2 linked regions of the Oryctolagus cuniculus genome follow. The protein of the gene in region 1 purifies or fractionates together with the protein of each later gene. This does not show direct contact. Links are inferred from orthologs where the notes say so. Each region holds a gene or a part of one and is shown on either strand. Other genes may lie near its edges.

Region 1 (3,646 bases):
TGTGGGCATTTAGGGAGCAAACCAGAGGACAGAGGTTTATTTTGGTGTAAAGTATTTTGAAATCCATACATATTTTTTCATAATGTACATGTACCATGAACTTTTAAGATCCCTTATATCAATCTAAGTAATATGATATAATTTACATAAAATAACAGAGGGAATTATAACAAAGTACTAAAATTTGTTATGGTAATGAAGTTAGGTATGAATTTTGATTTTTTTTCAACTAGGCTTTAATATATTTTCTACAATGTGCATATAATTAAATAGCTACATGTTTTTAAAAGGATCCAGGTTTACCCACCCTTTCTCTCATGAGAGCAAGGTGTCCACCTGCAGGGGAGGCAGGCTAACCAATGGGCAAGCAGCAGTGCTGGTGCTCCAGGCTTTACCAACTGGGAGACCCTACAGGGCCTGGCCCCTCAGCTCGGTAAATGGGGTACCAGGGATTCCCCTCGAAGGCAGAATAGCACCTGACACACAACAGACTCTCTGTACGGGGTTCTTGTTGGAATCTGTGGTAACTGGGAGGCACAGGGATAGACAGCCAGGAAGCGGCACGGAGACTGGGGGTCACGGTTGCAGAAACCTGGGAAATCATTCAGCTGGGTCTGTAGCGGAGGCTCGCATGTGCTGACTCCACGTCCAGCCTGAGTTCTCAACCAGGCCTTGCAAATGTGCATGTGCCTAGATCGGGCTGGAGAGTCGCTGGCAGCACACACGGTGAGGGAGAGTCCACTTGTGAGCAGGAGGCCTGGAAGGCCTCTGTACGCATGGGAAACTTGCACTTCTCAGAATCTGTCTCGCTCTAAAGCGTTTATGCTTAAGACAAGCCCCCTGTTCTCCCATTCGCTCCCAGTCACGTTCATCTTACTACTGTTCTGAAGCCACTCAGCCCCTTTTGGTCTGGAGGCCAAAAAGAGGCTCACTTGTAACTATAAAAGGCAGCAAAATGCTCTCCCCAGCAGGACACTGTGATGCGAAGCCACCTCTGAGGCATTCAGGGGAGAGGCACACAGGACTCTGGGGAGGCTGGCAAGACAGTGCCAGGCTGAGCTCACCAAAGGTGTCGGCGTAGATCTTGGCAAAGGAGCCCAGCGTGAAGCAGATGCTGTACTGGGAGCTGGAGAAGCAGACGTTGCCCAGGAGCGGGGAGAGGATCAGGTTCTCGTCAGTGGAATACATGCTGCAACAGACACAGGGTAAGCGTGCCGCAGGCCCTGACCTCTGCCACGGGGGACGGGCAGGGATGCCTACACAGCCACTCGCCAGCCCTCAGGAGGAGCTTGCATAAGACGCTCAGTCTGGCCAACAGCCTGGTCCAAGGAAGTGACATGATGGAGCTGTTCCCTAACTCTCAGTAACAAGCTGGCTTCTCAGAGCCGGGAACGTTCCGCACAACCTTGGAGGAGCTAACCACATCAGACAGACAAGGGCAAATGTGGAGGACAGAGACAAAGACCTTGGAAGACGGGAAATGAATCTAAAGTGATAAGAAATGAATATATTTGAGAGAAATCTCAACTTCACAAACACAAACATAAGAGAAAGAGCGAGAGAGACACAGAGGTAATTTATCCTCTACTCTTCTTTGTCCTGTAGTCTTCGGCTTTCTTTTAAACATGAATGCTAAACCGCAAGCACCTCAAAAGGTCACGAGCATTTGTAAGAAAATCAGCTGTACACAGGGGTCACACCCACAACTCTATCCTAACGGGCACATTATTTTATGGGATCCTCTCACTTGGAAACGAAAGCATTAGCTTATAAAGAACGGCCCCTATCCATCCCACTGCACCCCCCATTCTGCTCCCCAGTGGCAAGCGGCTTCAATCCATTTTATAGCTGCCTGGAGTACTTACCTCCATATCCCTAAATACTGTTTTGCTGCTTTCTGATTTTGAGGTTTCAAACATGCCCTCTTGATTTTCTATCCTGGTAGATCAGGATTTAGTTCCATCCCACCCCCAGCCTTCCTTTTAAAAAGAAGTGCTATTACTTCATCTTTTGGACCCATGACGCTGGGCTGGGCTCCAGCCATTCCCAACCACTCCAGGGATGAGGAGGAGACACTCCCAGTAGGCAGCAGTGCCGCAGGCTGGGGCAGCTGCGGGCAGCGGAGCTGTCACCGGCCCCAGCCGTCAGACAAGCTCCCAGTGGCCGTGTCCTCGCCCACTTAGGGGTCTCAGGAGTCGTTCAGTACATACTTCAGCCTGCAGATAAGACTGGCTTTATTTAATTTCTTGTAACATCCCTCTAGGCAAATATTACCATCATTCCATTTTTTATAGAAATGGAAACTGAGCTTATGTAATTTGCCAGACTCTACAAGAGAGCTTAACTTATTTTCCCTACTTCATGTAGTTGGTACGCAGCTAGGATGAGACCAATCCTAGAGCTCAAGGTATTGCCCATGACAATAAATTAAAGATGCACGAAGGTCACAACTGGCTAAGGCACAGGTACTGAGGTCAAGGTCGTGGAGGCAATCTCTGTAAAGACCTGAGATGCGCCTCCAGTCTTGCCCAACAAGCTCATCCACACACGTCAAGAAGTAAATCAGAGTTGCTCCCAAAGGTATTCAAGGGTAAAATTAAGATTTATAAAAACCAGCGTCCCTGAGGACCGGAAATCCACTCCCAGCAGTTTCATACCTTATTAATCCATTGACCTCATCCACAATGTGGCGCAGCTTGTAATAGGCATCGGTTGGAGGCAGCTTCAGCTCCAGGATCAGCCGGTCAATCTTGTTGATGCACACGGTGACCGCCAGCCTCTCCTGCACCGCGTGCTTGATCAGCCGCTCAGTGTTCAGCATCACCTGAGAAACACAGGCTCTGAAGGTGGTGACACAGCAAAGAGGACAGAAAGTCCAGAGCAGAGCCAAAAGGGCACCGCTTCCAAACATGAAGCAAGAGGGCAAACGAGAACCTGGGGAAACACACTGCTGGGCAGCAGCAGACAGCATCTCGCCAAAGGCAGATGCGGGCACTTTCAGAGGACACCCTGTAGGACTAAGAAATGAATAAACACACTCTCAGTGCTAGAGAAAGGACAAGGCAGGCCAGCAACAACTGTGGTGCTGGATGGGAACTGGGGGATGTTAGGATGGACAAATGATTTTTAAAAAACATTTATGTATACATTTATTTGCTTGTTTTAATTGAAAGGCAGAGGGACTGAGAGAGAGAGAAACAGAGAGCACTTCCATCTACTGATTCCCTTCCCAGATGCCGGCGATAGCCAGGAGCGGAACTCAATCTGAGTCTCCCATGTGGCTGGCAGGGACCCGAGTGCTTGGCCATCACCACTGCCTCCCAGCGTGCACATGCGTAGGTTGTTAAATCAGGAGTGGAGCTAGAACTCAAAGTCAAGCACTCTGAAACAGGTTGCAGGCATCTCAAGCAGTATCTTAACCACATGCCAAATGCCTGCCCGTGGACAAATGATTTTGAATACACACGTGTAGAAATAGTTACATATATCCGTATGCATGTGTGCATGGATATTATCTAGTTGTACTCTGTGAAAGAACCTACAGGCACAGGCAATGTACCCCGGTGGCAATGAGCACACCCAGATACTTGTTTCTAAATACCAGTCTCCATTATAAGAAGTCAGAGCTAGGGCTGTGGCACAGCAG
Region 2 (3,646 bases), on another chromosome or scaffold:
TGGCGTGTAGAAGGGACAAGCATCCAGGGGATGCAAAGGCAGGCCAATAGTGACATAAGTGATAACTCAGATGATCAGCAGCCTGTCAACACAGCTGTCCAGAGCAGTCCCCAGTGCCACGGAAGGCAGCTCTAGGCAGTGGCAGCCAAAGCCACAGGCACGGTTGGTAATCAGGTGCTTTGGGGAATTCCCAGAAGTACTGGTGATGGAGCTCTTGGGAAATGCAGCTGAACAGTGGCAGATGCCCTTCCTGGGAGAAAAGCCTGAATCGGGGTAGACTCAACCATGAGGAGGCAACAGCTGGTCTCCAGAACCCTCCACCGGGACTGGGGGAGCTCTGCCCTGCCCGAACCTCTGACGATGGGCCTGCCAGCCAGGTCAGGGCCGTAGGTTGTGCTTCTGCCTCACCCCGCGGCCTGGCCGGGGCGATGTGGTTCTGACACCCAGGCCTCTTCGAGCCTGGCAGAGGGGAGGGCAGGCTGCAACATCGCTGCCTCCACAGGCCCTATCCATAGCCTCCCCTTTCCTCCCCTGGCCCAGGTGCCAAGCTGAAAGCCTCCCTTGTGGCTTGAGGAGCCAAAGAATAAAACTAACACAGCCTATGGAGTGTCCCATGAGGCCGTGGAATGCAGGGACTTAGTTGTAGGAATGAAGTCTCTAAACTGGGTCCCGAGTTGGGCTCGAACCAGTTCCTGTTGGTCCGCTGTCCGGGGTCTGAGCACACTCACAGAGCGCTCTGGCAGGAGGAGAGCTGGTGGCATGGCGGAGGGCCACGGGAGCAGTGCCCTGCGAACCCGCTGAGGAGGCAGACCGCAGGCACCCAGGCTGTTCCAGAGAGGGCTGAGCCAGGCTGCAGCTTGCCCCAGAGCAATCGGTATCACCAAGACGGGGGTGGGGTGGCCACAAGCCCTGCCAACCCCACTTCTGCCTCCAGACTGGAAAATGCCAGGGCCAGGGGAGGGGCTCTCACGTGAGCCTTCGTGGAAGCTGAGGACTGAGGGCTGGCAGTGAGCTAGCCTCAGCCAGGAGGCCTATCCCTCATGAGTACGGCAGGCGGTGGCCCCGCATCAGCAGGGCAGCTTCTGAAGAGACAGCCCTGGTCACCCCTGTCCAGTGCACATTCACACCTGGGAAACTGAAGCGCTGGGAGAGGACGCAGCTGCCGAGGTCACCTGCCCCTCCCCTGCAGCTCTGGGTGAGCCAAGCCCCAGCTGCTTCCCTCCACAAGCAAAGGCAGCAGGAGCCCTCTGGGTGGGTGAGGAGGAGAGCCCACCAGGAGCCCCAAGTGGCGGGAAAGCAAAGCCTAAGAACCCTGGGTAGGGTAGAGCCCCCAGGCAGGGGGGCTTTCCCCCCCCTTCAGGGGGGAAAGAGGCCAACAGAACCACAGGCCTCCAGCTTGGGTTGGTGGCCCGACCAGTCCCACTCGGCTATATCTGGATAGACAGTGTCCCCAGAGAAGCCCAAACAGGAAGAGGACCCCCAAGACCCGAGCAGGCCCAGCTGGGTGAGGCCTCTCTCCTCACCTTTGACAGTCCTGGGTGGCCAGGGCCCACAACGCCCTGGGGCTGTCCCTCCAGCCAGGAAATCTTCAGGGGGTTATCAATAAGGCCCACTTCATTCTGCACAGCCAGCGCCTGCCAAACAGAGCATCCGGTCCTAGTGCCATCATCAAATCAGCCACAGAGCGGCTCCCCCAAGCCCACAGGAAAAACGGAACCAGCATTCTGGTCTTGCGAGCAGAGCCGGCAACCTCAACAGGCTGAAAATGATGGTGTGCTGAAGCTCCAACCCTTCTCGGGACGGGGGAGGCCCTGCTCATCTGGGGGAGCGAGGACCACAAGGCTGGGAAGGCAGTGTGAGGGCCTCCAACCTGGAGAGTGAGGTAGAGGGTGTGGAGCCAGCTGTCCCGAACCTGAAAGTCACTGGGCCTCCCCTTCATCCCGGAGCACTCCCCCAGCTGTGCTAGGGGTCAGGGGCCCCGGGGGAGCCTTGGCTCTGTACAGACCCAGAGATGCCCTGGGAGTGGACAGCCTAACTTGGGGCCCGTGGGATAGGGCTGCTGCCCTAGATGACAAGGCACTCACCGCAGCCTTGACAGTCGCAAACTCCACCACAGCAGTGCCTGCCCTCTTACTGGAAAGCACCAGGTTGAGAACCTCACCATACTGTGGGGACAAAGGGAGCCCAGTAAGCATGGCTCAGCCATTAGCCCAGCCCAGCCCAGGGAGCACACACAGCCCTTGTAGCTGCGGATAACCCCATTGCTGGCCAGAGCAGAAATAGGAAGGTCGCGTTTGTTTTTTTTTTGGTTTGTTTTTTAAGATTTATTTATTTATTTGAAACTCAGACACACAGAAGAAAAGAGAGAGAAAGAGATCTTCCAACTATTGGTTCACTCTCCAGATGTGCAACAGCCAGGGCTGAGCCAGGCCGAAGCCAGGAGCCAGGAACCAGGAGCCAGTGTCATCCAGGTCTCCCATGTGGGTGGCAGGGCTGTCTTCTACTGCTTTCCCCAGGCCACTAGCAGGAAGCTGGACTGGAAGTGGAGCAACTGGGACATGTACCAGTGCTCATATGGGATGCATCGCTGGTGGCAGCTTTACCTGCCATGCCACAATGCCCGCCCAAGGAAAGAGTGTTTTTAAACTCCCTTCCTTCTTTCCTTTCCTTCCTTTCCTTCCTTCCCTTTCTTAAATTTGAGAGACAGGGAGGGAAAGCTTCCTTCCACTGGTCCACTCTAAACGCCACATTGGTTGGGCCAAGTTGAGGCCAAAGCCAGGAACCAGGAGCTCAATCCAGGTCTCCCACCTGAGTGCCAGGGACCCAATTGCTTGAGCCCTCAGCTGCTGCCTCCCAGAGTCCACATTACCAGGAAGCTGGAATCAGGAGCTAGAGCAGTGGACTGAACCAGGTACCCTGACGCGGGGTGCAGGCACCTTAACTGCTACACTGAACACCTGTCCCAGACAGACTTTTTCCTCAAGTAATACAGGACAGCAAAGTAGAGCTAAGGCAAGATTGGCGACCTGGACTGGCGTCCTGGCAATGGATGCCTCAGTGGGCTACAGCAGGGGAAGGGTGGGGGGAGGGCCCTGTGCCAGACACCCCCCACACACACACTCAGCCACGCCCTGTGCTTCTAAGGGAGGTAGGGGCCAGACAGAGGTAGAGGAGAGACACACGTGGCAACACAAGTGAAAGGAAGACCAGGACCTGGGAGAAATCAGCCAAGACAGCCCCGCTCCCAGAAAAAAAAAAAACACACACACACACACACACAGCCGGTAGAGATGTTAAGGAGAGTTCGGGCACAGAGGACCCTGGGGTTGGGCGGAGATGCAGACTGGGGACGGGAAGAAGGGAAGTCACTGGGGCAGACCTTTTGCAAAAGCCGCAGGAGGACATCTTCGGAGTAGCCACCTTGGGACCCGTCCTCCTTGCACTTCCACTTTAGCTGAAAAGACAGCACCATTCAACACCACCCGCGCTGACCAGCACCAGACCCCAGAAGTGAGCAGGCACTTCCTCATCTCCGAGCACCGGTGACCTGGGACGCACCACCCAAACCCGGCTGTCCCCTTGAAAACCAAGAGGCACCCGCTCCAGAGCGCTTCCTGCGCTGTGAGGCGCACCCGCAGAGGGCTCC

What was found. Proteins that work in one complex are often made in the same cells at the same time.
Region 2: the proteins of EFTUD2 (region 1) and DNAJC17 purify together in Homo sapiens (affinity purification with mass spectrometry; 4 studies listed by BioGRID and IntAct, with this or other methods). This does not show direct contact. The link is inferred for Oryctolagus cuniculus from reciprocal best matches to the Homo sapiens genes EFTUD2 and DNAJC17.

What each region holds. Positions count from the first base shown.
Region 1 is NC_091448.1:18,115,028-18,118,673, forward strand, and holds part of EFTUD2 (116 kDa U5 small nuclear ribonucleoprotein component), read right to left. Parts: intron 2,825-3,646; coding exon 2,658-2,824; intron 1,190-2,657; coding exon 1,065-1,189; intron 1-1,064. UniProt on the Homo sapiens protein: Required for pre-mRNA splicing as component of the spliceosome, including pre-catalytic, catalytic and post-catalytic spliceosomal complexes. Component of the U5 snRNP and the U4/U6-U5 tri-snRNP complex, a building block of the spliceosome.
Region 2 is NC_091443.1:63,918,159-63,921,804, forward strand, and holds part of DNAJC17 (dnaJ homolog subfamily C member 17), read right to left. Parts: intron 3,455-3,646; coding exon 3,380-3,454; intron 2,166-3,379; coding exon 2,085-2,165; intron 1,635-2,084; coding exon 1,524-1,634; intron 1-1,523. UniProt on the Homo sapiens protein: May negatively affect PAX8-induced thyroglobulin/TG transcription.